Oryctolagus cuniculus: one gene and its partners. The protein of the gene in region 5 binds, or shares a complex with, the protein of the main gene of each other region. Links are inferred from orthologs where the notes say so. Each region holds a gene or a part of one and is shown on either strand. Other genes may lie near its edges.

The links.
Region 1: MED21 (region 5) and MED4 share a complex: the UniProt entries of both Homo sapiens proteins name them as parts of the mediator complex. The link is inferred for Oryctolagus cuniculus from reciprocal best matches to the Homo sapiens genes MED21 and MED4.
Region 2: MED21 (region 5) and MED16 share a complex: the UniProt entries of both Homo sapiens proteins name them as parts of the mediator complex. The link is inferred for Oryctolagus cuniculus from reciprocal best matches to the Homo sapiens genes MED21 and MED16.
Region 3: MED21 (region 5) and MED13 share a complex: the UniProt entries of both Homo sapiens proteins name them as parts of the mediator complex. The link is inferred for Oryctolagus cuniculus from reciprocal best matches to the Homo sapiens genes MED21 and MED13.
Region 4: MED21 (region 5) and CCNC share a complex: the UniProt entries of both Homo sapiens proteins name them as parts of the mediator complex. The link is inferred for Oryctolagus cuniculus from reciprocal best matches to the Homo sapiens genes MED21 and CCNC.
Region 6: MED21 (region 5) and MED8 share a complex: the UniProt entries of both Homo sapiens proteins name them as parts of the mediator complex. The link is inferred for Oryctolagus cuniculus from reciprocal best matches to the Homo sapiens genes MED21 and MED8.
Region 7: MED21 (region 5) and MED31 share a complex: the UniProt entries of both Homo sapiens proteins name them as parts of the mediator complex. The link is inferred for Oryctolagus cuniculus from reciprocal best matches to the Homo sapiens genes MED21 and MED31.

Annotation. Positions count from the first base shown.
Region 1 is NC_091440.1:67,125,663-67,129,860, forward strand, and holds the start of MED4 (mediator of RNA polymerase II transcription subunit 4), read right to left. Parts: upstream 2,801-4,198; 5' UTR 2,720-2,800; coding exon 2,595-2,719; intron 1-2,594. UniProt on the Homo sapiens protein: Component of the Mediator complex, a coactivator involved in the regulated transcription of nearly all RNA polymerase II-dependent genes.
Region 2 is NC_091447.1:58,469,058-58,472,557, reverse strand, and holds the end of MED16 (mediator of RNA polymerase II transcription subunit 16), read left to right. Parts: intron 1-55; coding exon 56-267; intron 268-365; coding exon 366-572; intron 573-1,065; coding exon 1,066-1,276; intron 1,277-1,473; coding exon 1,474-1,607; intron 1,608-1,699; coding exon 1,700-1,892; intron 1,893-2,129; coding exon 2,130-2,346; intron 2,347-2,526; coding exon 2,527-2,610; intron 2,611-2,946; coding exon 2,947-3,073; 3' UTR 3,074-3,241; downstream 3,242-3,500. UniProt on the Homo sapiens protein: Component of the Mediator complex, a coactivator involved in the regulated transcription of nearly all RNA polymerase II-dependent genes.
Region 3 is NC_091448.1:35,497,117-35,500,616, reverse strand, and holds part of MED13 (mediator of RNA polymerase II transcription subunit 13), read right to left. Parts: intron 2,180-3,500; coding exon 1,956-2,179; intron 483-1,955; coding exon 293-482; intron 1-292. UniProt on the Homo sapiens protein: Component of the Mediator complex, a coactivator involved in the regulated transcription of nearly all RNA polymerase II-dependent genes.
Region 4 is NC_091436.1:72,156,737-72,160,862, forward strand, and holds the start of CCNC (cyclin-C), read left to right. Parts: upstream 1-1,326; 5' UTR 1,327-1,614; coding exon 1,615-1,646; intron 1,647-4,126. UniProt on the Homo sapiens protein: Component of the Mediator complex, a coactivator involved in regulated gene transcription of nearly all RNA polymerase II-dependent genes.
Region 5 is NC_091440.1:124,254,533-124,258,701, forward strand, and holds the start of MED21 (mediator of RNA polymerase II transcription subunit 21), read left to right. Parts: upstream 1-1,369; 5' UTR 1,370-1,570; coding exon 1,571-1,612; intron 1,613-3,987; coding exon 3,988-4,102; intron 4,103-4,169. UniProt on the Homo sapiens protein: Component of the Mediator complex, a coactivator involved in the regulated transcription of nearly all RNA polymerase II-dependent genes.
Region 6 is NC_091438.1:129,634,664-129,638,748, forward strand, and holds the start of MED8 (mediator of RNA polymerase II transcription subunit 8), read left to right. Parts: upstream 1-1,285; 5' UTR 1,286-1,393; coding exon 1,394-1,399; intron 1,400-2,648; exon of another isoform or gene 2,649-2,667; coding exon 2,668-2,786; intron 2,787-4,085. Other genes in the region: KICSTOR complex protein SZT2, read right to left, coding at 1,174-1,200. UniProt on the Homo sapiens protein: Component of the Mediator complex, a coactivator involved in the regulated transcription of nearly all RNA polymerase II-dependent genes.
Region 7 is NC_091448.1:49,926,482-49,930,767, forward strand, and holds the start of MED31 (mediator of RNA polymerase II transcription subunit 31), read left to right. Parts: upstream 1-1,486; 5' UTR 1,487-1,715; coding exon 1,716-1,743; intron 1,744-2,744; coding exon 2,745-2,822; intron 2,823-3,037; coding exon 3,038-3,134; intron 3,135-4,286. UniProt on the Homo sapiens protein: Component of the Mediator complex, a coactivator involved in the regulated transcription of nearly all RNA polymerase II-dependent genes.

The DNA of each region.
Region 1 (4,198 bases), about 57 Mb from region 5:
ATGGCCAGGGAGTGCAGTGGAGGATGGCCCAGGTGCTTGGGCCCTGCACCCCATGGGAGACCAGGAAAAGCACCTGGCTCCTGGCTCCTGCCAGGATCAGCGCGGTGCGCCGGCTGCAGCGGCGGCCATTGGAGGGTGAACCAACGGCAAAGGAAGACCTTTCTCTCTCTGTCTCTCTCTCACTGTCCACTCTGCCTGTCAAAAAAAAAATAAAAAAAAAAATAAAAAAAAAAAAATAAAAAAAAAACAGCAGTGGCTAGGCAGCTTTTATGTTGGTAACTTGGAGCTGAGCAACTACAAACAGTGAGAACTCAACAGGAACTAAATGAGCATTCAGTTAGCTGTCTCACAGATGATGTCACACAGAACAGACACGTGAATAATTTAACTGAAACATCATACTAAATACCTTGCTAGTGTGTTTTTTTTGTTAACTAAGAAATAATGTGGATGTTGATGTTAAGAGGATTGGCTAATGAGGGAACTGACAAGTTTTCCACCATAAACTACTAAACCAGCGAAGATGGACATGCTCCGTCTGTAAACACTTGGAGGCAAAGCCTGGACAGCTGCCTGGTGCCTGTGAGTTTGTTTCCTGTACTGAGCAATGGCTGACCGAAAATTCCAGGTGCCCTGTTTGTGATCCTACTACAATGTAAACAGTGGATGAAGCTTATAAGCCATTTACCTTCTGTTGTCTGCGTGTTTTTAGGTTTTCATTACATCACTAAATGTTGTACTTAACATTGGTAAGTAATGGTACAGCAAGGGCTAAATTCACAGCAAAGACAAAGTACTGATCTTGAGTGTAAGCAGATCGGCATTTGCTGTCACAGAATGCTGGCTACGGAAATGGTGACATTTGAGACAGATGCTGAAAGACAACTCAATCATTCAGCCAGCTAGAGATAGAGTAGGAATGGCACTGACGAAGTACAGCTGGCGGTGACATGGGAAGTAGTCAGGCATCCCTCAAATGCACGGTGAGGTGACTGTACTTACACAAACCCAGACAGGAGCGGCCACCTGCTGTGGCCTGACGCAATCAACAGTTCCCAGCAAAAACAAGGTATAGGAGGCTGCTCCCAGCAGAATGTGGCACTTTGCTTAACAGTTAAATTTTAAGTAATAGGAGGAATAAACTCTAAATAACAATGAAAAGTATTGCACAGTAAATACATAAATCAGTAACAGTCATTTATTATCAAGAATTATGGACGGGGGCTGGCATCATGGCATAGCCAGTGAAGCCACCACTGGCATCCCATATGAGCTCCGGGTTCAAGTCCCAGATACCCCTCCTATCTAGTTTCCTGCTAATGTGCCGAGAGAGCAGCGAAAGACAGCCCAAGTACTGTGTTCCTGCCACCCAGGCAGGAGACCCCGGCAGAGTTCCAGGCTCCATGCTTTGGCCTGGCCTAGCCCTGGTCTTTGCAGCCATCTGGGGAGTGAACCAGTGGATGGAAAAGCTCGCTCCCGTTCTCTCCCTCTCTCTGTAACTCTGCCTTTCAAATAAGTAACCTTAAAGAAAAGGAATGAGGGGCTGTGTGTAACTGTATGTGCTACACTTTCACGCCCCCGGCAGCAGGTGGGCCCATTCACACCAGCGTCACCACAAACACGAGCACAGAGGGCAACAAGGCCACGAGGCTGCAGGCATTTTTCAGCTCCATTATAATCCTAAGGGACCACCACAGCATAATCATATATCTGGTCTTTCCTTGACAGAAACCCGACACTGGGCCTGACTCTGCTTATACGGGCTATCGAGTATTTTTTAAGAAGAATGATGCGAGATGCTTTTTAAAATAACGATGGTGCTCAGCAGTATAAAATGACAAAGTATATCAAGTACAAAAGAAAGTAGAAACTTTTGGCAGGCTGCAAAAACAACACAACTTAGATCCAGGTTAACCACAGAAGACAGGAAGGCCCCGACTTGAAAGACGACCGTGAAAACTGAGAGCCTGCAGAACAAGATCCCATCCCGTCTCCCATGCTGCTCTGCGGCCATCCCCAGCACCTTACAACTCCGCCAGGGCCTGGGGCCTCCGACTTCCAAGGTTTGCACACACTATGTCACCTCCCTGCCACCTGCTGAGTCCGATGAATTCATTCTTTCCAACCAAAGCCTGCCCTGACTACACTCCCGGGCCCGCAACGCACTGCTCGGACAAGAACGAGCCCCGCACCAGCACTGTTTACCCACCTGTCTCTCCCTGACCCCGGGCTCCTCCGCGTCGGCACCCAGCCTCCCCTTCACGACAGTCTCCTAGTGCTTGGCGCCCAAGGGGCAGCCCATTAGTGCCAGTCTCCCAACGCGAGACCTCTTAAGGTTCGCTCTGGCTCTTGCCGTCTTGGACTTCCAGGGTGGCTGTCATGACTAAAATTCTCTCTGACGGCAAAGAAAAAAGTGTTGCCCAGAGTCCCAGAGATCTGCAGACCCCATATCCTTAACACTCAAGCACCGGGGACTCCCAAGCTCAGGCCTCCCCGCCGAGACCCAGGAATGAGCGCAGAGGGCCGGCGGCGGCGGGCTCCGGGGCCAGTCCCCCAGCCCAGCCCCAGCCAGGCTCTCAGGCCGGCGCCATTACCTCGACAAGACCTCCAGATCTTCAAGCGCAGATAACAACCGCTCTCTCGTGCTGTTACCGCCTGCCGCTCCAGAGCTGCCTCCCAGCCGTTCCTTCTCCTTCTCACCACTCGAAGACGCCGCCATGCTCCCCAGGGCCAGGAACCAGCGCAGGCGCACCTCCGCGCTAGTGGGAGAAGAGGCGGGCTCGGGAAGCGGAAGGAAGGGTCACCGAGACGTAGGGAAGAGCGGTACCGCCAGAGCGCCGCCTAGGCGACTGGAGGCGCACTATGGGCGTTAGCGCCATCTGCTGGACCAGCCGGGCTTCTCCATTACATACCCAGGGAGCGCCCAAGGAGTGAGACTGGAGGGGGCGATTCAGTCCGATTCTTCTGGGCCTTCTGGTTTTTCAAGCAGCAATGGAAGGCTTCTCCCAAACGGTTTTTGAGCATTTCAGGGAGTTACCTACTTGCCTACCTGTTATGTCCGTTTCTTCATAAACTCGACTGGTGTCTCCCCAGGATTGTCTCTGCAGTCTGCATTCCCATGATGCTGTTCTAACCTTCCTGTTGCATGGCTCTTGGAAGCTGCAGTAAGCTTTTCAGCACAGGAACCAAAACCATTTGTGATCCTATTTTTTTTCATTGTAGCAAAATACACAAAACGTAAAAGTCACGGTTTTAGCTATTTCAGTGTGTAGTTCAGTGACGTTAAATATGTTCACACTATTGTGCATCTAGAAAACTCTTTTTAATGATGGGGGAACTAGGCATGAAGATTAGGTAGAAAGAGTTGAGCTGGAATAGTTTCTCAGAATTTCTGCATAACCCTGCATGGCAACTCCTCCCCCTTACCTGTCAACCCAGTGTGCCCCCTTTCCCATGATGCACCTGCCTCATCAGGGATCAGGAAGGAAGGGAACCATAATGACCACGTGGAAGGTAAGTTGCTAGCCAAGGCACCATGAAACTGCCTCACACTGAACTCCATGCTGTTTGCATACTTATCAGAGCACCACCCAGTACCTCACAAAAGGGACTGATAAATGTGGAAACACTCCTTTTTTGCTTTTTTGGCTTCAGGAGCATACTTACGGTCCTTCTCTGGTCTCCTTGCCCTCTCTCTCCTCCTAGGCAACTCTGGCCCACTCATGACAAGCATCTCTCCATGCAGGGATGCCCACACTCACACGAGAATGTATATTCACTCTTTCAATAAATCGTCTTCTCCCTCGTGCTCTGTATGTATTGCTCTGTTTTGAATTCTTACCTCTGCAGGGACAAAAACTTGGAATAAAAGTTGAGATTGGCATGCCTGCAACATTCACACCTCATAAAACAAATCTAGCTTCATTCCTCCCCACGCCCCAGGGAGTCCCTAGAAAGCAGCATCCTTCTGGTTTCTGTGAGTTCGGCTTCTTTGTGTGAGTGGAATCATACATTATTTGTCTGTTTTGTCACTGGCTTATTTCACTTAGCAAAATGTCCTCAAATTTCATCCATGCTGTAGCAAGTGTCAGAGTTCCCTTTTTGAAGTTGCTTGATATTCCATTACTTGTCTATACCACCTTCTGCTTATCTGTTCATCCAATAATGGAAGTTTGGGTTGCTTCCATGGTGTTTTTTT
Region 2 (3,500 bases), on a different chromosome or scaffold from region 5:
CCGGAGGCCGCGGGCAGCCACGGCCACACCCTGACCTGCCCGCCCACCCGCCCAGGGCTGGCCCTGGCCTTCCAGGACGGCAGCGTCCACATCGTGCACCGGCTGTCCCTGCAGACCATGGCCGTCTTCTACAGCTCCGCGGCCCCGCGCTCCGTGGACGAGCCGGCCATCAAGCGCCCGCGCACCACGGGCCCCGCCGTCCACTTCAAGGCCATGCAGCTCTCCTGGACGTCCTTGGCCCTCGTGGGCATTGACAACCACGGGAAGGTGAGGGCCGACAGGGCCGGCGCTTGGCCCAGACCCCCCCCCCGCGGGGCCCCGCCCCCTCCTGACCGCCCCCCCCTCCTGACGCCCCCCCCCCACAGCTGAGCCTGCTGCGCGTCTCGCCCTCCATGGGCCACCCCCTGGACGTGAGCCTGGCCCTGCGGCACCTGCTCTTCCTGCTGGAGTACTGCATGGTGACCGGCTACGACTGGTGGGACGTCCTGCTGCACGTGCAGCCGGCCATGGTGCCCAGCCTGGTGGAGAGGCTGCACGAGGAGTCCACGCGCCAGAGCGCGGCCCTGCAGCAGGTGGGGCGGGGGGCGCGGGGAGACCGCGCCGGGACAGCCGGGCGTCGGCCCGTCCACGGCTGCGGTTCGAGGCCGTGGGTGACGCAGCCAGCGTCCGCTCGGTCCCTGCCACCGCGCTGGCACTGCGGGACGGGGGGGGGGGGCCCCAGCCAGCGTCCGCTCGGTCCCTGCCACCGCGCTGGCACTGCGGGACCGGGGGGGGGGGGCCCAGCCAGCGTCCGCTCGGTCCCTGCCACCGCGCTGGCACTGCGGGAACGGGGGGGGGGGCCCAGCCAGCGTCCGCTCGGTCCCTGCCACCGCGCTGGCACTGCGGGACGGGGGGGGGCCCAGCCAGCGTCCACTCGGTCCCTGCCACCGCGCTGGCACTGCGGGAACCGGGAGGGGGGGGCCCAGCCAGCGTCCACTCGGTCCCTGCCACCGCGCTGGCACTGCGGGAACGGGGGGGCCCCCAGCCGTGCGCTGCCGGGAGGGAGCTCACGCCGCCCGCCCCCAGGTGCTGTCCACCCGCATCCTGGCCATGAAGGCCTCGCTGTGCAAGCTGTCGCCCTGCACGGTGACCCGCGTGTGCGACTACCACACCAAGCTCTTCCTCATCGCCGTCAGCTCCACCCTCAAGTCCCTGCTGCGCCCCCACTTCCTCAACACGCCCGACAAGAGCCCCGGCGACCGGCTGGCCGAGGTCTGCGCCAAGATCACCGACGTCGGTGGGTCGCCGTGCCGGGCGCTCGCGCCGCAGGACACGCTGTGGGCCGCCGGGGGTGGGGGGTGCGCTCGCCGGGCTGGCCGGGTGGGTGGTCCGGCGTCCCCGGCGGAGGGCCGGAAGGGGCGGGGCCGGAGGGGCGGGGCGGCGCGGCTCCTCCCCCGCCCGCTGGCTCCGGCGCGAGGCCCGCCTGCCTTGCAGACATCGACAAGGTGATGATCAACCTGAAGACGGAGGAGTTCGTGCTGGACATGAACACGCTGCAGGCGCTCCAGCAGCTGCTGCAGTGGGTGGGCGACTTCGTGCTCCACCTGCTGGCCAGCCTGCCCAACCAGGTGCGCCCTGCGCGCACGCGCACACGCACGCCGGGCATGCCCCCCCGCCCCCCGCCCCCGGCCGCTGCAGGGTGCACCCGCTGTCCCCGCAGGGCTCCCCGCTGCGGCCGGGCCACAGCTTCCTGCGGGACGGCGCCTCGCTGGGCATGCTGCGGGAGCTCATGGTCGTGACCCGCATCTGGGGGCTGCTGAAGCCCAGCTGCCTGCCCGTCTACGCGGCCACCTCCGACACCCAGGACAGCATGGCCCTGCTCTTCCGGCTGCTCACCAAGCTCTGGATCTGCTGTGAGCCCCGCCCCCGCCCCCCCCCCCCGCGGGCAGCCGCTCGCCGGCCACCTCCGTCCCCCAGCGTCCGGTTTCTGGGGACCCGGCCTGGCCATTCCTGCGCCCCCACGGGGCTTTCCAAGTGGACGGGTGGAGCCGGGGCCGGAGCGGGAGAAGGGACTGCCCAGGGCCCCGGCCACCAGCCAGGCGGGCGAGGGCGAGCCGTGCCCGGGGCAGACCCGACTCGCATCCCTGCAGGCCGTGACGAGGGCCCGGCCAGCGAGCCGGACGAGGCCCTGGTGGACGAGTGCTGCCTGCTGCCCAGCCAGCTGCTCATCCCCGGGCTGGACTGGCTGCCGGTCAGCGACGGCCTGGTCAGCCGCCTGCAGCCCAAGCAGCCGCTGCGCCTGCAGTTCGGGAAGGCGCCCACCCTGCCCGGCAACGCCCCCACCCTGCAGCTGGACGGCCTGGTCAGGTGCGTGCGGGTGCCGGGAGCGCTCGGGGCAGCCGCGCTGCGTGTGGGAGCCCAGGTGCCCGTGTGTGTGTCCGGGTGCGGGAGTCCCGGGGGGAGGGAGGGGGTCTGGCCCTGTGTCCCGGGGACCCGCGCCGTCCACCTGCGGCTCCTGCCCTGCCTCACGCGCCCCCTTGGCCCCAGGGCCCCCGGCCAGCCCAAGATCGACCACCTGCGCAGGCTGCACCTGGGTGCCTACCCCACGGAGGAGTGCAAGGCCTGCACCAGGTGAGCCCTGCCCCTGCCCGCCCCCCCCCGGGGGGCTGCAGGGGAGGGGGCGGCCCCGCCCCCATGGCGCAGGGAGCAGGGCTGGGGGTGGGAGGGGTGGCGCTGGATGGTAGGGGGCGGGGCCGGCGTGGGGGCGGCGGGGTGGTCCCCGGAGGCCTCACCCCGCCCCGCCCGTCCGCAGGTGCGCCTGCCGTGAAGCAGTGGGAGGAGGGGTGGGGGTGGGAGGGGTGGTGCTGGACGGCAGGGGGCGGTGGGGGCGGGGCCGGCGTCGGGATGGTGTTGGGGGCGGGGCCGGCGTCGCGGTCCCGAGGCCTCACCCCGCCCGCCCGCCCGCAGGTGCGGCTGCGTCACCATGCTGCGGTCCCCCAACAAGGCCACGGCCGTGAAGCAGTGGGAGCAGCGCTGGATCAAGAACTGCCTGTGCGGGGGGCTGTGGCGGCGCCTGCCCCTCAGCTGCCCCTGACCCCGACGCGGGCGCCCCGCGGAACGTCCCGTGAGCGGACGGAGCCCCCGACAGGGCGGCCCGCCGGCCAGGGCCCTGCCCAAGATGGCCGTCCCGTGTGACTGCCCGGGTCGCCTGTGCCTGTGGGGGAGGGGGAAGGGCTGGCCCAATAAACCCCCCACAGCTGTGCCCGTGTCCCGCCCCTCACTCGTGCCGGGGCCCCGCCCCCCCACGGCTCTTCCTGCGGGGCGCGGCTCACTGCCCGGCCCCCTCCGCCTCACAGCCTGGCAGCCAGGGGGTGACCGCCCCGGGGCAGGGGGCCCTCGCAGCCCTGTGTGGTGTGTCTCCTGGGTTCTGTCACCGCCTCCCCCACACCCCGTCTCGTCCCAGACCCACGGGAGCTGAGCGTGGGCGCTTGGGGAAGCCACGGGGGAGACCTGGGACAGAT
Region 3 (3,500 bases), on a different chromosome or scaffold from region 5:
CAAAAGCATAGAAAATAGTCTTTAAATAAAATTTCCTCCTGCCTGATAGGAACCCTACATGAGGGATTAGTAAACTCTCTCTGTAAGGATTCAGATAATAAGTACTTTTGGCCTCACAACCCACACTGTCGGTTACATCTGCTCAGCTCTAAATTTGTAGCACAAAAACAGACAATATGCAAATAAAGGAAGATAACTGTGATCAAATTACAATTTTATTTATGAAAATAGCTGGTGGACAAGGCCACACTTGGCTAATACTGGTCTTACAGAATAAAAACAAATTGAATACCTAGGTCATATCTGCAGACTTGTGCATAAAGTTTGAGCTTAGAAAATGCTTCATTGTTACCATCAGCTGCCTGAGAAAACCATTCTGCTACCAACTTTTCTGATAGTTTCTTTGATGCAGTAGATCCAACTCTCATGATCCCATCCGTCAACAGTCGAGAAATCGGTCTATGTTGACCTAATCGACAGGACTATAAATATACATACAGAAAGCAAAAAAGTCAATGTACTACAGTATTTAGTATATTAAAGCATTTATGCTATTTTAAATAATCTTATTTATAATGAGCATTTTATATAACAATATCAGTAGTGAAATGGCACCACTAGTCTTCTTCCTTTAGAGATTCATTAAATTTTGTGAAAACTTAGACACCCCTAATGAAAAAGTATCTAAATAATAATACTGCACTAAAACCATTTACTCTGAATAATCAAAGTTTACAGAATAAAGAATGATGCAAAAAGCAGTCATTTTTTGTTATAGCCATACATCTATGCCAATTCATGTATATAAATACATATTCAATGTAAATTAAAATTTGGTATTGAAATACAGTTTCTCCCAGCTCTCCCTCTAGTTCTGTGGGCCACCAAATTTTCTAAGAAGCTCAATGACAAATAAGTTTATAACACGGGAGTAGGAAATTTACTGTGAATCACTGAAAGTTCAATATAATACACAAGATTTTCCCAAATCTATTTAATTATGGAACTTCTTGCTGGGAGGATTTTTTAGGACTTGTATTTAATTAACACTCCTTGGGGAATGTTTATTTATAAAACATATACAGCAGATCCACTGGTATTAAAAAGAAACTTACAAGGAAACTAAACTAGTATACACTAACAAATTCAGTTAAAGAAACTAAAAATGTACAGACTGGATTTTCATATATTTGTGGAAAAAAGTTGCAATACAGTAAAACCTTATGTCCTATGCGTAATTCTTAAAGTATACAATCATTGTGCACAGAGATGGATACAACATGAAAATTCTAACTTAAGAGATTTACTGAATTTCAAGTGCTGCCTCTGGTTGCCTTCAGCAGGGCCAAACCAAATGATTTCACAGGCTTTATATGGCTCGTGAGCCAGACCCTCCCCAACCCGTCCCATAGAATCAGTACGAGAAATTTTACAGAGGTTAATTTTTTTCTCCTAGCTATTTAACAATGCTTTAAATTGTTTTAGACATGGTTACTTTAAATAAAATATATAAGGGTATTTCAAAATTTTCATGGAAAAATGGAGTGGAAAGGTTAAGTTTATTTTTCATGCAAAAAATTTTGAAATATACATTTTTCATAATAATATATTTTCTGTGAACTTTTTGAAGATCCTGCAAACACAAGAATTGCACAATTTTTACCCCAAAATAAACAACTTTTAATTTCATTTTTACATAAAATTTCTGAAGTATCCTCATATATGCCTTCAATGTTTTTCCCCAAAAACAGATTTCTACACAAAACTAGCCAAGAGACTGAGTTAGAACTGCCAAAGGATTTAACTGGCTAGTGTTAGAAGTAAACACCTGGTCTGACATCATCATTACTCTGCCCCATTCACTGAAACTTCCCACTATACTTTCCATATAAGCATACAGATCATAAGGTAGTTTTAAAATGCCACTTTTTTTTTTTTTTTTAAACAATACCTACCTCATATATTGCAGTAAGATCTCTAAAAAAGCTTTTGGCTCCATTTAACAAGGCTTCATTTTCTGGACACAGTACAACATAGGCTATATCTCTTTGAGATCCATAGGGTTCCAGCATAAGTCTCTCCCAATAAGGGAGAGCAAATGGAGAAAGCACCAGAAAATCATAATCATAACCCAACAAAAACGTGGGGATTGGCAGTGGTTCTGGAGATTCATCAGTTCCTAGTTAAAAAGACATATTTTAAGAAAACACTTAAGAAAAGATTATCTTTTTATTTAAATGTCAAAAGTTAGTGAAGTAATTATTAGTAAAAATACTCAATTTAAAGAAAAAATACTTAAACCCAGAGACTGAGACTTTTCCAGTTAAGAATTTCTCAAACGGTCCTTTTTATAAAAAAAATTTATTTTACTTATTTGATAGAGTTAAAGGGGCTGGTGCCGTGGCACAGTAGGTTAATCCTCCTCCAGCGGCACTGGCATCCCATATGGGTGCCGGTTCTAGTCCCGGCTGCTCCTCTTGCAATCCAACTCTCTGCTGTGGCCTAGGAAAGCAGTAGAAGATGGCCCAAGTGCTGGGCCCCTGCACCTGCATGGGAGACCAGGAAGAAGCACCTGGCTCCTGGCTTCAGATCGGCGCTGCTCCAGCCATTGTGGTCATTTGGGAAGTGAACCAATGGAAGGAAGACATTTCTCTCTGTCTCTCCCTTTCATTGTCTGTAACTCTACCTCTCAAATAAATAAATATAATCTTTAAAAAAAAAAAAAAGTTACAAAGAGAGGTAGAGCCAGAGAGAGAGAGAGAGAGAGAGAGAGAGAGAGAGAGAGAGAGAAAGTACTCCATTCCACTGGTTCACTCCCCAAATGACCTAGGCGGCCAGAACTTAACTGATGTGAAGCCAGGAGCCAGGAAATTCTATCGGGTCTCCCACGCTGGTGCCAGGGCCCAAAGAGTTGGGCCATCTTCTACTGCTTTCTCAGGCCATAGCAAATAGCTGGATTGGAAGTGGAGCAGCCAGGACTTGAATTGGCACGCATATGGGATGCAGGCATTGCAGGCTGGGGTTTTAACCCACTGTGCCAGCCAGCCCCATCAAATGGCTTTTATAAAACATATCTGAGTACCTTAATTTAAACTAAAAAAACAATCTGAGGAGCTGGTACTGTGATGCAGTGGGTAGGGCTGCCACCTGCAATGCCAGCATCTCCTATGGATGCTGGTTTGTGTCCCAGCTGCTCTACTTCCAATCCAGCTCTCTGCTATGGCCTGGGAAAGCAGAAGGAGATGGCCCGAGTCCTTGGGCTCCTGCACCAGTAAGGAAGATCCAAAAGAAACTCCCAGCTCCTGGCTTCGATGGGCACAGCTCTGGCCGTTGTGGCCATCTAGGGAATGAACCAGCAGATGGAAGACATCTCTCTCTCTCTCTCTCCCCCACAACTCCTCCCTCCCTCCCTCCCTCCCTCTCTTTCTCTGCCTCTCTATGACTCTTTCAAATAAATAAATAAATCTCTTTTAAAAATCAATTTGAGTGAAAAATCCAGA
Region 4 (4,126 bases), on a different chromosome or scaffold from region 5:
ATTTCATCTTGTAAAGTGACATTTTTCAGTACATTTCTTTTTGGAACATATATGTGCATACATGTAAATATATATGTGCTTACATATTTTTAGATGTTTCCCAAACTGGTGATTCTTTGGAATTAAAACACTACTGCTGGCCGGCGCCGCGGCTCACTAGGCTAATCCTCTGCCTTGCAGCGCTGGCACACCGGGTTCTAGTCCCGGTCCGGGCAGCAGATTCTGTCCCTGTTGCCCCTCTTCCAGGCCAGCTCTCTGCTGTGGCCCGGGAGTGCAGTGGAGGATGGCCCAAGTGCTTGGGCCCTGCACCCCAAGGGAGATCAGGATAAGTACCTGGCTCCTGCCATCGGATCAGCGCGCCGGCTGCGGCGGCCATTGGAGGGTGAACCAAGGGCAAAGGAAGACCTTTCTCTCTCTCTCTCTCTCACTGTCCACTCTGCCTGTCCAAAAAAAAAAAAAAAAAAAAAAAAGAATGCATTGTGGGTGCTGGCGCCGGCGGCTCACTTGGCTAATCCTCCGCCTGCAGCGCTGGCACCCTGGGTTCTAGTCCAGGTCGGGGGGCTGGATTCTGTCCTGGTTGCTTCTCTTCCTGTCCAGCTCTCTGCTGTGGCCCCGGAGTGCAGTGGAGGATGGCCCAGGTCCTTGGGCCCTGCACCTGCATGGGAGACCAGGAGGAAGCACACCTGGTTCCTGGCTTCGGATTGGTGCAGTGCGCCGGCTGTAGTGGCCATTTGGGAGGTGAACCAACGGAAAAGGAAGATCTTTCTCTCTGTCTCTCTCACTAACTCTGCCTGTAAACAAAACAAAACAAATAACACATTGTGGGGTAGGGCACACCAGTTTGCGTCCCAGCTACTCCACCTCCAATACTGTGCCTGGGAAAGCAGCAGGTGGCCCAGGTCCCTGGGCCCCTGCATCCACGTGGGAGAACTGAAAGAAGATTCTGGCACCTGCCTAGACATGGTGCAAGCCGCGGCCCTTGCAGCCACTTGAGTGAAGCAGGGTGGCAAGGCATCTCTTTGTCTCTGGAACTGCATTTTACATAAATAAACCGTTTGTCTGCTAGAAACTAAGAACGCTTGATAGATGGAGTCAAAATCATGATTCACTTCTCTTTCCAAGCGCAGGAAAAAGGGAAGTCAACAAATCGTGTACTTTGTTATAAAGTCATTATGTCTTTTTGGATACCTGAAAGATGGACCACAAAATTATAAACTGGGCGCTTGCTCCAAGATCTCTCCATTCAGCAAATCCAGCGAGAACAGAACACAAAGGTTGCGCGGGTTCCGAGCCGGAACCGGCACGAAACTCTCGCGAGAGCTTTCCGACCGACGCAAGCCCTCCCGAGGACTTGTTCCCGTCTGACGCCTCGCTTCCTCAACTACTGCAGGACGGGCCGGAACTTTTGTCTGTAGGAACGGGTTTACTGGTTGAGTGTTGCCAGCCGGCGTCAAAAAGAATAGGGATCCATCCTCTTCCTCTCGCCGTAGCCGCCGCTGAGCCAAGCTGAGCTGATCCGATCTAGGAGCGCGGTTACCGGACGGGCTGGGTCTATGGTCGCTCCGCGGGCCGCTCCGCCGGCTGGTGCTTTTTTATCAGGGCAAGCTGTGTTCCATGGCAGGGAACTTTTGGCAGAGCTCCCACTAGTAAGTGATCTTCCGCGTTCTCGGCCGGTGCTGGTTCTTAGGGGTTGGTGAGAACGGGGCCTGCAACTCCCCTCCGTGTGGATCCCGGCGCCGGTCCGCGGCGCCGGTGAGGTCCCAGTGGGAGGCGGCAGCAGCGGGAGTGAAGTGCGCTTGTCTGAGGCGACTCTCCTCCCAGGCTGCCGGCCGGGATTTGCGGGAGAAGGATCTGTGAGCGGGAAAGCTGGGGGAAGGAGGTTGAGTGGGAGAAGGAAGGTTCAGGACTTTGATTTGGATCTGGGATTAGCTAGTCGGGTAGCACGAGGTGTGCACAGGTAGGGGAAGTGTGAGGTCGGGACCGTGAGGCAGCCTGTTCGCAGAGTCGTGGCTTCCTTTTCTCCGGGGTTTCTTCAGGATATCGGCCTCGTGGTACTTTGCCATTTACCTTCTGTGTCGAGTGGGTTTGATATTAATCAGAGGATAGGCGGGAAGCAGGCTTATTTCTAGCTCGTGATCGGTTCCAGTAACTATGCCTAGGTGGAGTTTCATGTTCTAAAAATTTATCCATTTCCTTATCTGTGTCTTACATTTTATCTTAAAACTGCATTTCTCATTGATTGTAATGAGTAAATTTGTGTTCTGTCAGCGACCACGAGCGTGTTAGAGTGATACAAAAACTTTGTCCCTAAATACGTTTGTTTAAGCAGACGGGAAGGTGCGTGTTAGACCTACTTGAACATTGACTAGGCTTTCCTTTGTAGTGCAAAAATGAACTGAGCTTGATAAAGGTATCTTAGTGTAAATTTTTCATTCTAAGAGCATTAGTAAATGTATCTTACGTTTTGTTTCTGTGAATAGAATCGGTTTTTATTCATTTTTTAACCATTTGCATAAGAAAAACAATGGGCTTGTTAACTTTCAGAAAAGCCTTTTCTTGTTGTACAGTCGATCTATGAAGTGCTGTAGAGGCTTTCCTCCCTTTCATATTTTTGTTTTACATTGTTGTCACTGAAATATTTTCTTGGGCAAAGTTAAAGTTTACAAACGGTAAATAGTGGAGAAGAGATTCTGTTTGAAAGAAGCTGAGAGAATTTACAGGTAGCTAGCTGTTGATTGTCACTTCTTCAACTTAAAAAGATAGTGCTCCCCTTCCTCTTTTTTAAGGTGAAAAATCCTTTTTTAAAAAGTGCTTTTATTTACTGTTGGCATTATAAAAAAGTTATCCTTTCACTTTTTTTTTATTAAAGGTTTATTTATTTATTTGAAAGAGTCACACAGAGAGAGAAGGAGAGGCAGAGACAGAGATAAGTCTTCCATCTGGTTCACTCCCCAGTTGGCTGCAACAGCCGGAGCTGTGCCAATCCGAAGCCAGAAGCCAGGAGCTTCTTCTGGGTCTCCCACATGGGTGCCAGGGGCTCAAGAACTTGGGCCATCCTCCACTGCTTTCCCAGGCCATAGTAGAGAGCTGGATCGGAAGGGGAGCAGCCAGGACTTGAACTTGTGCCCCTATGGGATGCTGGCACTGCAGGCGGCAGCTTTACCCACTATGCCACAGTGCCAGCCTCAATCTTTCACTTTTTTTTTTTTTTTTTGCCAGGCAGAGTTAGACAGTGAGAGAGAGACAGAGAGAGAGTTATAGACAGTTCCTTCCTTTGGTTCACTCCCCTAATGGCTGCTACGGCCAGTGCTGCACCGATCCGAAGCCAGGAGCCGGGTACTTCCTCCTGGTCTCCCATGCGGGTGCAGGAACCCAAGGACTTGGGCCATCCTCCACTGCACTTGCGGGCCACAGCAGAGAGCTGGACTGGAAGAGAAGCCACCAGGACTGGTACCCAGCGCCCCAACCGGAATTAGAACCCGGGGTGCCGGCACCGCAGGCAGAGATTAGCCAAGTGAGCCATGGCGCCGGCCAATCTTTCACTTTCTGAATACAAAATTAAACATGCTTTTTAAAAATTGTCTTTGCCTCCCATTTAAAAGAGTCTTGGTTGTCTTATTCTTATACCTTGAGAATCATGGAATGTCAGATTTTTGAAGGGTAATGAGCAAGAAAAACAAGATAATTCCAGATAAACAAGATTATAAAAGGCCGTCGTTTTAGGTGAATTTAATGAACAAGGGGGCAGAAGTTCTGTTTCAAGCCTCTTAAGATGAACTTTTTCGGCCGACGCCACAGCTCACTTGGCGAATCCTCCGCTTGGGGTGCCGGATTCTGTGCCGGATGCTCCTTTTGGAGTCCAGCTCTCTGCTGTGGCCCGGGAAGGCAGTGGAGGATGGCCCAAGTCCTTGGGCCCTGCACCCACATGGGAGACCAGGAGGAAGCACCTGGCTCCTGGCTTTGAATTGGCGCAGCGCGCCGGCGGCCATTTGTGGGGTGAACCAATGGAAAAGGAAGACTTTTCTCTCTCTCTCACTGTCTAACTCTGCCTATCAAAAAAAAAAAAAAAAAAAAGATGAACTTTCTCACATCATTTCTGAACTCAGCATGCCATTTTTTTTCTACT
Region 5 (4,169 bases):
TGGCCCAAGTGCTTGGACCCCTGCACCCACGTGGGAGACCTAGATGGGTTCTAGTCTTTACTTCTGCTTTTATCAAGGTCAACACTCTAGTTCAGGCCCTATTCATCTCACATTTGGGCAAGTGTAGAACTCCTAGCAAGTCCCTGACCTTTTGCCCCTTGCAAACGCAGCTTCCATGGCACGGTGCAACATTCGGTACGGTATACTCTCAACTGGTACAAGAAAGCTACAGACTGCTCCAAACTACAGTTAAAGCAAATGAGAGTCACTTGGCATTGGTACCATGATATGGGAAGTGTCTCACCTGTGTGGTTCCCCCAGCAGGTCAGGTCTATTGACGCAGAGGTGGGGCTTCCCAGAAAGGGCCGGGCTCAGTCCTGCAAGCTGAGTTCCCCAAGGACTGTCTCCCCCACTGCCATGCTTTGAATGTGTCTGCCGCATTCATGCATCTAAGGAATGCACCAGAAGGAGCTGTCACACCAAGTCATATATCTGCAGCAGACAAGGAGACCACAAGGAGTCATTTCCAAAGCCGTGACTCTGTGAGCAGGGGAGAGGGAAAGATGAGCAGGTAAGAGGGAGGTTCTGATCACACCTGGGGGTGGGTACAGGTCCATGAAGGTACAGTTTGGAAGAATGCTCCAACACTGGCTGCACCATACGGCAGCACAGCTCACACTCCCCCTGGGGTGGAGCTCTTAGTGTTAACATGAAGCAAAAGGTGAGGTGTGGATACTCTGTGACCCGCCTGCGCCGGCCTTGCTCCTGCAGTAGGGTCCCGAGCAGTCCAGGATAGCTAGGGAACTGCATCTCTCTCTGGCATGTGACAGCAAACCTGAACTACATCAGGTGCCTTTGAGATGTGCAAGTAGAGATGAGTCAGTTGACAGTTTCTGAGCTGTGCAGGGCAGTGATAGGGAAAGGTGACTCGGCCCTTCTGAGTGGATTAATCCACTGGATTACTGGGGTAGCCCTGGGCAGGCGGTGGGTGTGTGGCATGGTGGCTAAGGCACTGCTTGGGACAGCTGCATCACAGGGCTTGAGTTCGAATCCCAGCTCTGCTCCTGATTTTAGCTTCTGCTAGTGAGCACCAGATAGGCAGCAGGTTATAGCTGGAGTGGTTCCCAGGTGGGAGACCTGCACTGAGTTCCAGGCTCTGGCTTTGGCCAGGCTCAGCCCCTAGTTGCTGCAGGCACTTGGAAAATCAATCAGCAGATAGAACTTAATCTGCCTCTCTAATAAAATGACAATATATAAATAAATTTTTAAATACATGGGAAAGTAGGACAAACCACTAAATAATCCCACAGAATTCAACGATCTCGGTAAACAGCTGACCACCTCACAACCTGAAAGGGAGCCCAGTCGCGCAAAGGATGCCGGGCCCCAGCCGCTGCAGGTCCAGGTAGCTCACCCGGCGTTCTCCCCGGCACCCGCCCCTCCTCGCGGGGCGTGTCCTCCATGACCCCACCCCTTCCGGAGAGCCGCACTCTGATTGGCCGTGACCCGTACGAAAGCTGGCCAATCGCGTAGGAGCAGCTGCTGCAGCGTCTCTGCGTGCGGGAGGAACATGGCGGACCGCCTCACACAGCTGCAAGACGCCGTGAACTCGGTAGGCGCTTTAATTCGCTTACTTGCGGTCTGCCTCATTCCTGAGGTAAAACGGGGGAGGAGAAGAGGCCCGAGACGCAGCCTTCGGCGGTGGCGAGCAGATGGAGGCGGTGCCTCTGCGAATTCGGGGCGTTCGAGGCCGGCCGCGGGGGCCGCGGAGGGAGCAGCCCCTTTGCCCGGCGGCGGCCTCACGGGGCTCGCCGGACACTGGTGCTGGGGGCGGGAGGAGAAGAAAGCAGACGCGGTTCTCTGCGTATACCTCGGCCCCGGGGCCCTGGAGACTGCGTCTCGGTGCGACGCCTTAGCCGGGCTCCGGTACTTCGAGGGGCGGGAGCAGGAGCGGTGGCGCCTGGAGAAGTTGTGTTCGCTCCCTCAGGCGGGGATGGCGAGAGCTGACGTCTGGAAGCTTGTGAACCTTGTGTCGGGCGTTGAGGTCCCTGGGTTTGAGAAGCGGCTCCCCTGGCGTTGTCCCTGGCGATGCTTTGCACCTGAGAGTGCGTGCGAGCCCTAGGCCCTGGGCTTGGAGCGGCCGCTGGCTGCCCTGCCTGCTGGGGCTGCTGTCCCCGGGCGGGTGCCTGGGCGGGCACTGTGATTGTTCACCCCCCAGCCCTTGAAGCTGACGAGCCGAGCGCTTGCAGAGCGCCAGCGTGCTGTGAACAGCGCGGGAGCTTGCGAGGCTGAGCGGGCAGCCACCGAGTGTGGGTGACATCCTGCCAGGCCCTCGGGGAGCTTCTACACATGCTGGTGCTGGATGGAAGCCTTCCTTCGTGGCCTGGCCCCTGGAGGCGAGGCAGGGCGGAGGGAGTGTGGCCTCTCCCCCAGGGGGAGGCCTGCTGGTAGCTGGGGTCTCCAGAGAAGCCTTCAGGGTACGCCATGAGCGCCTGCTGTGTCGGAGCCCAATCGTAGTTCCAAAGGGACAGCCTGAAGGGCATAAGGATGATGTCACATACTCAGGGGACGTTTAAATGATGTAAAAACACTATGGGGTTAGGGAGTTAGAATGAATGCGGTGTTTTCAGCTGTCAGTGCTGAGTAAATTGGAATATGGAGCCATGCGCCCTGAAATACTGAATTATCGTAATCGTAATTATTCATGTCGTGTTCACCATATTTGTGTTACGGCTGTTAGGTTTATGTTCGTTTCTTGCCGTGGAGTTTTTTTCAATCACTGTTTGTTGAATGAACGTCTAAATGGATCTTGAAAGCTTGTGAGGGACAGTACAGATAGCCACTGTGTTGAAGGGTTTTTTGTGCGTTTCCGCTGTTTGTCCGGTTAATCAAACCAGGATTAGAATCTAGGTTTATATAGCTTCCAAGCTCTTCCCCCTCCATTGCAAATAGCAAACCAGCAAACTGATAACTAGCGAGTAACTGTGAGGGAGTAAAATGTGAAAAATGTTTAGGAAGAGCTGGCTGAGATTATTATTGAAAAGTTGGAAACCGCTTGCTGACCGCAGTGGAGTGAGCCGGCGGTTTTTGTGCAGGGGGGAATACGATGGGTAACCAGAGAACAGTGAGGGCGCGATTGCAGTAATTCTGGCAGGAGGTAAGTGATGGAACAGAAGGGGGAGAATGAACCATCCGCGGGATAGGAAGCTGGAAGGCATGAGGCTCTGGAATGAGACTGGTTGGCTAGGACGCTCTCAAGACCAGTTAGATACTTATCCGGGGAGCAGGTGACTTCGAGTCCGGCCATTGCAGTCATGGCGGAGAAGGGCGGTGGAAATGCTTCCTCACTGATGGGAAATAGGACTTGAGGTCTGAGAGGTCAGGCCTAGTGAGAGGATTGGTGGGGAGCTGTGGTCCCTGGTTGAAGATGGTAAGGCACTGGTTTCTCAGTCTTGAGAGCTGCTGAAGGAATACTTTAACAACGCGAGCCTTAGCACTGCATTAGAAAAGGCACCTTATTTCCCCTATTTCTTTGCCTTGTGAACACTGAGATCTCAGAAAAGGAATTGTATATGAGTAACACTTTTTTAAATTAAATCTGGGGCCATACGTGGAAAGTCTCGTTGCCTGTAATATTGGCACAAAATTGTCTTTATCATTCTGTTAGCTTCAGAAGACAAGAAAGATGATACAAGTTTGCATGGGCTGCAAAATTTTTTTGCATAAAAATATATTGATCTTTTAATTCCATTTTTACTGTCTCATCTAGATTGATATCAACACCACCTAGGTTGATACTAAGTTTATTTGCATGGTTGAAATATCTAATCATTGTTAACACACTGGCTTGTTTTATCCGAAATTACTCCTTTCTGATTCACTCCCCTGCTCAGAGAGCATTGTTTTGGGAAACTTGTTGCCATTACCAGCAAAAGCTTTAGACTTGATAAACTTTGTATAATCCTGACCTGTTTTCTCTGGCCCAAGCTTGCAGATCAGTTCTGTAACGCCATTGGAGTGCTGCAGCAGGGTGGGCCTCCTGCCTCTTTTAACAACATTCAGACAGCCATTAACAAAGACCAGCCTGCTAATCCCACCGAAGGTAAACAGCTTTTCTTGGCTTCCCTTTATTTGATTCTCGGACTTCGTGTAATCCTTTAAATTAGATT
Region 6 (4,085 bases), on a different chromosome or scaffold from region 5:
CAGGTAAGGTATACTATTTGTATTTTTTTTTTTTTTTGACAGGCAGAATTAGACAGTGAGAGAGACACAGAGAAAGGTCTTCCTTCCGTTGGTTCACCCCCCAAATGCCTGCTACGGCCGGCGCTGCACCAATCGGAAGCCAGGAGCCAGGTGCTTTCTCCTGGTCTCCCAGGCGGGTGCAGGGCCCAAGCACTTGGGCCATCCTCCACTGCCTTCCCGAGCCACAGCAGAGAGCTGGACTGGAAGAGGAGCAACCGGGACAGAATCCAGCGCCCCAACTGGGACTAGAACCTGGAGTGCAAGCGCCGCAGGCGGAGGACTCGCCTAGTGAGCCGCGGCGCCGGCCTATTTGCATTCTTACACACATTCCTCACTGTTCCCATCTGTTGGTATGTTCTCCAACAGTGCTGGGCATCTCTACCCAAATCTGGGATTTTATGCTCAGATTTTCTAACTCCAAAAATCTGCTACTCTCAGGCGTATGTACAGCACTTGACCTATCTTACTTTTCAGTTTTCTTTTCTGAAAATGAGAATGGATATTGTGCAAACGTGAATGACACAATGTATGTAAAGTTGCTTGCATGGTCCTTGGCATCTGACAGAGAGAGCTTAAGCCTTTTCTGGCTTCACACACGTGATTCTCACAACAGACTAACAACAAAGAAACAGAATCCAGGAAGTTAAGACTTGCCCCAGGCTTCAGAGAGAGCTAAATAGCAGCGCTAAAATCCGAACTGGGTCTCACTCCGAGCCAAGCCCCCCCCCCCCCCCAATAAAACCAAAGCTGCTTTCCCCATCATGAGTGCTAAAACTAAATTAACTCGTGCTGTTTACTGCACGCCCGTGTCTGAAGACACGCACCGGCTGCTGCCGTCCAGCGCACTGAAACCGCGACAGGAACCAAATCACAGGGTTTATTAACACCACTGTCACTAGGTCAAGTCGGCGACGCGGAAGAGATTTCAGTAAGCACAACAGAGCGAGCGAAGCATTTCTCCTCCAGCCTCCGGAGGAAAGAACGGACTGCGGGGATGCGGGGCTGCAAGGGTCCCTGCCGACGCTACGCGGCCCGGCCGTCGGCCGGCCAGGAGGCCGAGGTCGCGCCTGCCCGCACCGCCCGCTCCTCCCGCTCGGGTCTCAGGGCCCAGCTCTGCGCCCGCCCGCCCCTCACCTCAGGCTCCGGGCGCTCCGAGGCCATCACACAGCCTTCCCGCGCCGGCCCGGGCCAGTGAGGCAGATCCACTGTGACCCCTGACCTGGCTACCTCAGTACCGGGCCGGAACCGGAAGTCGGTGGGCGGGCCAAGCCCCGATTTCCTTGATTGGTGGACAAAACCCTCAGAAACTGGGAAACCGGAAGAGGAAGTGGTTGCGGCTGCCACGGCTGCCGCAATGCAGGTGAGAAGCGGGGTGGGCCTAGTGGCAGCTAGCTGTCTTTGGGTAACGCAGCGAGAGTGGGCTGGCTGCGGAGAGTTAGGAGTTGGACCGAAGAGGAGAGGGCGGAGGCAAGAGGACGCGGGGCCAGGGCAGAGGGGAGACGAGGCCAAGTGGAGAAGCGGCGCGGATGCTACGTGGGGGCGGAGTCCGCTGACAGGGGAGAGACTAGCAAAGTCGGGAGGGCGGAGGCAGCCGCCGCTTGTTTGGGGCTGGGAAAGCATCAGGATGTAGTTTGCGAAAGCCGAGATACAATCCAAGGGAGACGGCCCGAGAGAGACATGAATTGGCTCAAGCCTCAGCCTAGGCTGTTGGATGCAGACGTAACGGCGAATCTGCAATCGGAGAGAAGCCCGAAGGGTGAAGGAATTGTGGGCCGAGCTGGCCAGAAGCTAAGTTGTTATCAACTGAAACCTTGGGTGAAACCCAAGATGATGCTCCTGTCAGGCGCAGTGTGGGGTTGGCATCATTTTTCCCAGTCTGTGCCTGAGAGTTATTAAGACGGAGGAAATGAAGTAAAACGGAAGATACCCCCCCACACCGTGGGAAGGGAATGCCTGCAGACCCCCACTACTTGACATTGCTTGTCATGTGAGCTGGGTGGGTGGTTTTGCTTTTCACTTGTCGCTTTGCTTCTTGGATGGGGCAGTGTTTCAGTAAGTCCTTCTGGGTCAGCTGAGCTTGTGAAAGAGGCACAGGAATATTGGCACAGAAATAAAGGAGAAAGTTGAAACATCACCCACTAAGCACGAATGAGGAGCGAGGGGCAGGGGCGTGCAGAACTAGGGTTCAGAGAAAGCTTCATGTCCAGGCAGATTTCGCAGGGGCTGTGCTGTTGACAAGAACAGGGCAGATTCTAGGACGAAGGAAGCTAGGGCACACGTGCCACAGAAATGTGCATAGGATGATGAATCCCAGGCATTATGTCTGGCAGGAGTTTCTCAACAAGGGAGAGTAGGGCACGTGCAATACAGAGGAAAAGCAGGCCTGGATTTGGAGGTGTGAGAGCGAGAATCAGTTGGTAGGAGGACTTAAGGTCAGGTGAAAGGTCTAAGGGTTGGTGCTGTCTGTAACCCAAATACCAAAGATAGAAAATAACCTGGCTGTCATTCCAGTGAGATCCGGTGTTAGCCAACTGCGGTTGGCATACTCTCTCCGACGCTTTTCAGCCTTCTTCTAAAGGTGTCATGCTCATATCTCTCTGGGTAACCAGCCCATCTCTGTTGGTGCAGAGGGAGGAGAAGCAGTTGGAGGCGTCATTAGATGCACTGCTGAGTCAAGTGGCTGATCTGAAGAACTCACTGGGAAGTTTCATTTACAAGCTGGAGAACGAGTATGACAGGCTAACCTGGTAAGGGTTGCCAGGGCAAACTGGGGAGGGCTCCTGACGAGTAGTTCATCTCTGATGATGTAACCATTTATCAGTTTGCAGATGTCGGGTAATTTGGAAAGAGCTTGGTTTCCCAACATTTAGTAAGTGAAGTTTGGCTGAGGGCCTCCGTGGCAAGGAAGTAGAGAGCGGCCCAGTTTCCCAAGCCACGTTCTTTCTTTCTTTCTTTTTTTTTTTTAATTTTATTTTTATTTATTTGAAAGGTAGAGATATAGACAGAGAGAGACAGAAAGGTCTTCCTTCCGTTGCTTCACTCCCCAAACAGCCACTACAGCCGGCGCTGCGCTGATCCGAAGCTAGGAGCCAGGTGCTTCTCCTGGTCTCCCTTGCGGGTGCAGGGGCCCAAGCACTTGGGCCATCCTCCACTGCCCTCCTGGGCCACAGCAGAGAGCTGGACCGGAAGAGGAGCAACCGGGACTAGAACCTGGTGCCCATATGGGATGCTGGCACCGCAGGTGGAGGATTAACCAAGTGAGCCAAGGCACCGGCCCAGCCACGTTCTTTCTAGCTTTTGATTCTTTTTTTTTTTTTTTTTTTGACAGGCAGAGTGGATAGTGAGAGAGAGAGACAGAGAGAAAGGTCTTCCTTTTGCCGTTGGTTCACCCTCCAGTGGCTGCCACGGCTGGTGCGCTGCGGCCGGCGCACCACGCTGATCCGATGGCAGGAGCCAGCTGCTTCTCCTGGTCTCCCATGGGGTGCAGGGCCCAAGCACTTGGGCCATCCTCCACTGCACTCCCTGGCCACAGCAGAGAGTTAGCCTGGAAGAGGGGCAACCGGGACAGAATCCGGTGCCCCGACCGGGATAGAACCCGGTGTGCCAGCACCGCTAGGTGGAGGATTAGCCTAGTGAGCCGTGGCGCTGGCCGCTTTTGATTCTTACCCTTTTCATCTCTGGTCAGGAGTTCTCTCTCAGTGGGTCTTCCCACTATATCTCAGTCCATGCTGGATCTCTTGCCACTAATGTGGCTGTCTTTTAGATCCAGCCTACTGCTGAAGTATGGCTCCTGTTTCCCGGCAGAAAGGAGGCTTTCACCCAGTTTCTGATTTTTTTTGTCATAGAATAGCCATGGTTCCTGTTTTCCAGTGTTTCTCACCCCATTCAAACAATGAACTGCCTTTTTCTGCCTCCGTCAGGAGCTGAAAGCGTGTCCCTCTTTCCTAACCCCGCATTCCTGTTCCAGGTCTGGGTCCTGCCGAGGCTCGTGATGGGGATGAGTCTTTTGGGGGTCAGTCTCAGTTTTCCTAATCTGAGGACTTGTC
Region 7 (4,286 bases), on a different chromosome or scaffold from region 5:
CGCGGCGGCCATTGGAGGGTGAACCAACGGCAAAAGGAAGACCTTTCTCTCTGTCTCTCTCTCTCACTGTCCACTCTGCCTGTCAAAAAAAAAAAAAAAAAAAAAAAAAGAATCAGTAAGCTCACCACAGACTGCAACTCCCAAGTCTAAGGACTGGGTTGCAGCAGTTTTATGGTAGCCTCTGGGGCTTTATGACTTCTCCTGGCCTGAGCCCCTATTCCAGGGGATGGCCCGGTTCACTGCCCTGCCTTTACATGTAGGAGCCCGAGTATGGACTGGAAATGGCAGATGTTCTGCTCCCAGTAGTAGACACAATTGGGCCATCGCTGGCCTGCTGGAAGACCCCTTTGTCCTGCTGGGTAAATCACTGACTGCAAGGCAGGGTCAAAAAGCAACAGACACCCCCCCCCCACACACACACACACACTGTCCAGGGGAGGGCACGGCCTCCCACCCTCCTCTGGAGCCTCTCCCAGGCCTCTCCTCTCCCAGCTGCAGCGCGTCTCCAACTGGGCACCACTGACACGTTAGGCCCCGTGATTCTGTGGTTTTGGTGCTGGGATCCCTGGCCTCTACCCACGACTTGCCAGCAGCACTCCTTGTACCTAACACAAACGTCTTTAAACATCGCCAAGTATCCCCTGGGGGACAAAATCCTCCCCCCCCCCTCCAGGATGAGAACAACTGTTCTGCAGCCCACACGGAAGGCAGAAGGTATTTTAAAAATGCGGTTGCATCATGTCAGTCCTGTGCCGAAAACTATGCAGCGTGTTCCTGTTAGACTAGAACCTGAGTTCCCGTGGTGACTCAAAGGCCCTCTAGAAACTGGTCCTGCCTGTTGCCGTCCCCTCTCTGCCTCTCACACACGAAGCTCCCAGCTCTCCCTTCTTCTCTCGGGGAACGTTGCAAGCTTGCTCCCACACACCCTTCGCACTTCTCTTCCTCCGGCCTAGGGTGCACTCCGCTGAGACCCCCGGGTGGGGGTGGGGCGCTCGGTGTCACCACACAGGTCTCAGCTCCACTGTGGCCTAACCAGCAAGGCCTTCCCCGTCCATCCCTCTATACCACCACTCTCCGCCTCTTTGCCCGTCAGCCCCGCGTGCGGGCTTTGTCACGCGTGGGGAGGCCCAGGGCGCGGCTCGCGCAGGAACCCAGGAACCGCGGCTGGGCTGTTTCTCACACCGACATGTGGGCTGCCTCCAGGAAGCCAAAGGCGACTGGGGGACCCGGCTGGACACAGTAGGCAGCCTCGCCTCCAGCCGCTTTGACGAGGCCCTGAGCACTCGGGAGGGCACGAGGGCGCCGCTTCCTGGAAGGCGAGGTGTCCACACTGGGGTGAGGACGGCTTTCCCCCAAGGGCCGAGGCCATTCTATAGGTGTTGAGGGGACCGCTCAGCACACCTCTACGCTACGTCACGAGGTGAGAAATGACGTCACAGTAGCGACCTGCCTCCTAGGCGGCAATGCCACTACACGCTGACGTGAAACACCTCCAAATACGGCGCTCCCCGGGCCGCAGCGCCCGGCTCAGGAGCCCGAGCGGGCGGAGCCAGCAGCGATGGGCGGAACCGCTGTCCTCCCAGCGCGGCTGGGCCCGCCCCCGTATCCCACAGTGCCCCGGGGCCGGAAGCGGGGTGCTGAGGCTTCCGGAACTTCCCCAGCCAGACTGGGCAGAGTCTCTGCCGAGCTGGTGAGAGTTCGCGTCGTTCCTTGTTATGGCCGCCGCCGTCGCCATGGAGACAGGTGAGTCGCGCTCTGAGCCGTGCGCTCCGCCCGGACCCCTTCTCCTGCCTGCCCGGGGCCTCCTTCAGGCCTAACGGAAGGGGCTTGGAGTGGGACCCGGGAGGCGAGAGGGCTCTTGGAGCATCTGGGAAGGTGCCGGCAGCTTTGCCTTTTTCAGAGTTTGGTGGCTTCGCACATGTTTTCTCCCCGCTTGCTGTTCACTCAGCGACCCCACCTTCGTCCCAGCGTGGGTGAGACTGAGGGACAGCACTGGAATCTTTTCTTTAAAAAAAAAACAAAAACTAGTATAAAGAGAACAGATTGCATAGGTACAGTTCCAGGAGACCCATACTTCCCTCTCTCCTCCTCCCCCCACTCGCGTTCCCTCCCCTACTTTTCATTTTTTTTGTTGCCAAGGCATAAATTTGATACAGTCTATAATAACGGCTTATTTCACCACGAACCGTAATATAGAGCCAGTCAAAAGTAGGAAGACCACCAGGAGCATAAACAGGGGCTGAAAGTGACAGTCGTGTCACCAGACAGCACTTGGGTCTGCTTCCGCGGGAGCTTGCATGAGTTTGGGGCGCCCTGGACCAACTTGCGTTATCCTGCCACTGATGCTGCCATTCGGGGTCTTCCGGCGCTCCGCAGTCTCCTAGCTCGCACTCGGAGCTCCTCACCGCCATCGACAGTAGCTACAGTGTATTAATAAAATACAGGGAGGTAGACTGTCACCCCATACCCGGTCACTCACTGCTGAGATGGCTCCAGTGACCCACCGAGGGAGGTCTCCTGCCGCATCTGTGTTCCCCTTGTCTCTGATGACTTCTCTTCAACGTTAGAGGGGTTTCTAGCTGCCTTAATCAGAGTTCTCCTTTTCTTAGGTTCCTAAGGAATTATGCCTCCCAGAAGTGTAGCTCAGCATTACGCAGGTTTCCTGGCTGCTGTTTCCTTTCGACCCATCGGTGTTGTATTTAGCGACCTTTGTCTTGGATGATTTTTGCTGTCTTCTCTCCTAGATGATGCTGGAAATCGACTTCGGTTTCAGTTAGAGTTGGAATTTGTACAGTGTTTAGCCAACCCAAATTACCTTAATTGTAAGTTGTTCACCTAATTAAATTGAATAGCTATTAATGATTTTTTGACAAGAGTTGCATTTCCTAATAGTATCTACTTTTATATATTCTCAATTGAATAGAATTGCACTTAAAGCAATTCTGTAGCTGTAACTGAGCAAACTAGGACTTGTGGGCTGGTGGTAGTCCAAGCATCCGTCTGACCTAGGTTTTGTTTTTTTTTTTATGCCTTTCAGTTCTTGCTCAAAGAGGTTACTTCAAAGACAAAGCGTTTGTTAATTATCTTAAGTACTTGCTGTACTGGAAAGAACCAGAATATGCCAAGTATCTAAAGTAAGTTTAATTTTTTGTAATCCTCGGTGTATGTATGTTTTACTAAAACCCAAAACGTGGATACGTAAATACTTCTTAGTTTCACACTGGTAAAAATGTATGTTGAATCTGCACGTTCTGCGCGTTCGGTTGTCACTGCCTACCTCTTAATTTGGATTCCTGCAGAAATCACTCACTGTTGGCTCTGTTTTCTGCTCTTTCCTCACTACCTCACCCAAAGCCAATAAAGCAACGCGATTTTCTACCCAGAAGCCGATGTGGTCCCTGGGAACTGTAGCTTAGAACATGCTGTCTGTTCCTTAGACCTGGGGGGCCCTCCCTTCCTGGCAGTGAAGTCTGCGGCCCGGCCGCATCTGGCCCAGTCTTCTTGACCTCCTCTCTACCAGTCTCCCCATTTCTCTGGGTTTCTGGTCTGAAGGACTCTGGTCCTCACATGCAGCAACATAGCCATTGACTGATAATAAAAGATCACACAGAAGTACCTGTGAGGAAGATGTGGAGGATGTCACTGTGTCTTCCAGCAGCGATCTTTGTGCCCAAATGCTTTGCATTCAATAACTAAAAAACACTGCACACTCACAACTGTTTCCGTACACATGCCGGTCCTTCAAAAAGTAAATGGAAAATGGATCCAAAAGACGAGTTTGTATTGGTGCAAAAAACTTTTGGAGTCCATGTGTAAGGGATTTCCAGAAGTTCTTGAAAAATTGTGTAATATGAAATAACCAAGTATAGACTACAAGCTTTTTATATCCAAATAAGCTTTTAATTCAGGTTTTTCCACAAACTTTTTGAACTACGTGTATGTGTGTTTGCCATTCAAGTTGTTCCAGAGACACTTTGACTTGAAGGCCAATTACATTTGCAAGGGGCATATTATGACCAGAAACCTATTCCCTTTCAATGCGGAAGGCTGCACTTACTACTTTGCTTAGTATTAGCCAGGTGGTTGGAAAGCAGTGGTGAAGCTTTTCAAATTTTTTGAAAAATTATTTTATTTGGAAGGCAGACAGAGGGAGAGAAAGAAGTCGCCCATCTGCTGGTTCACTCCCCAAATACCCACAGCAGCCATGGCTGCGCCAGGCCAGAAGCTGGGAATCAGGAACTCAGCTTGCATCTCTCATATGGTGGCAGGGACTCAAATACTTGAGC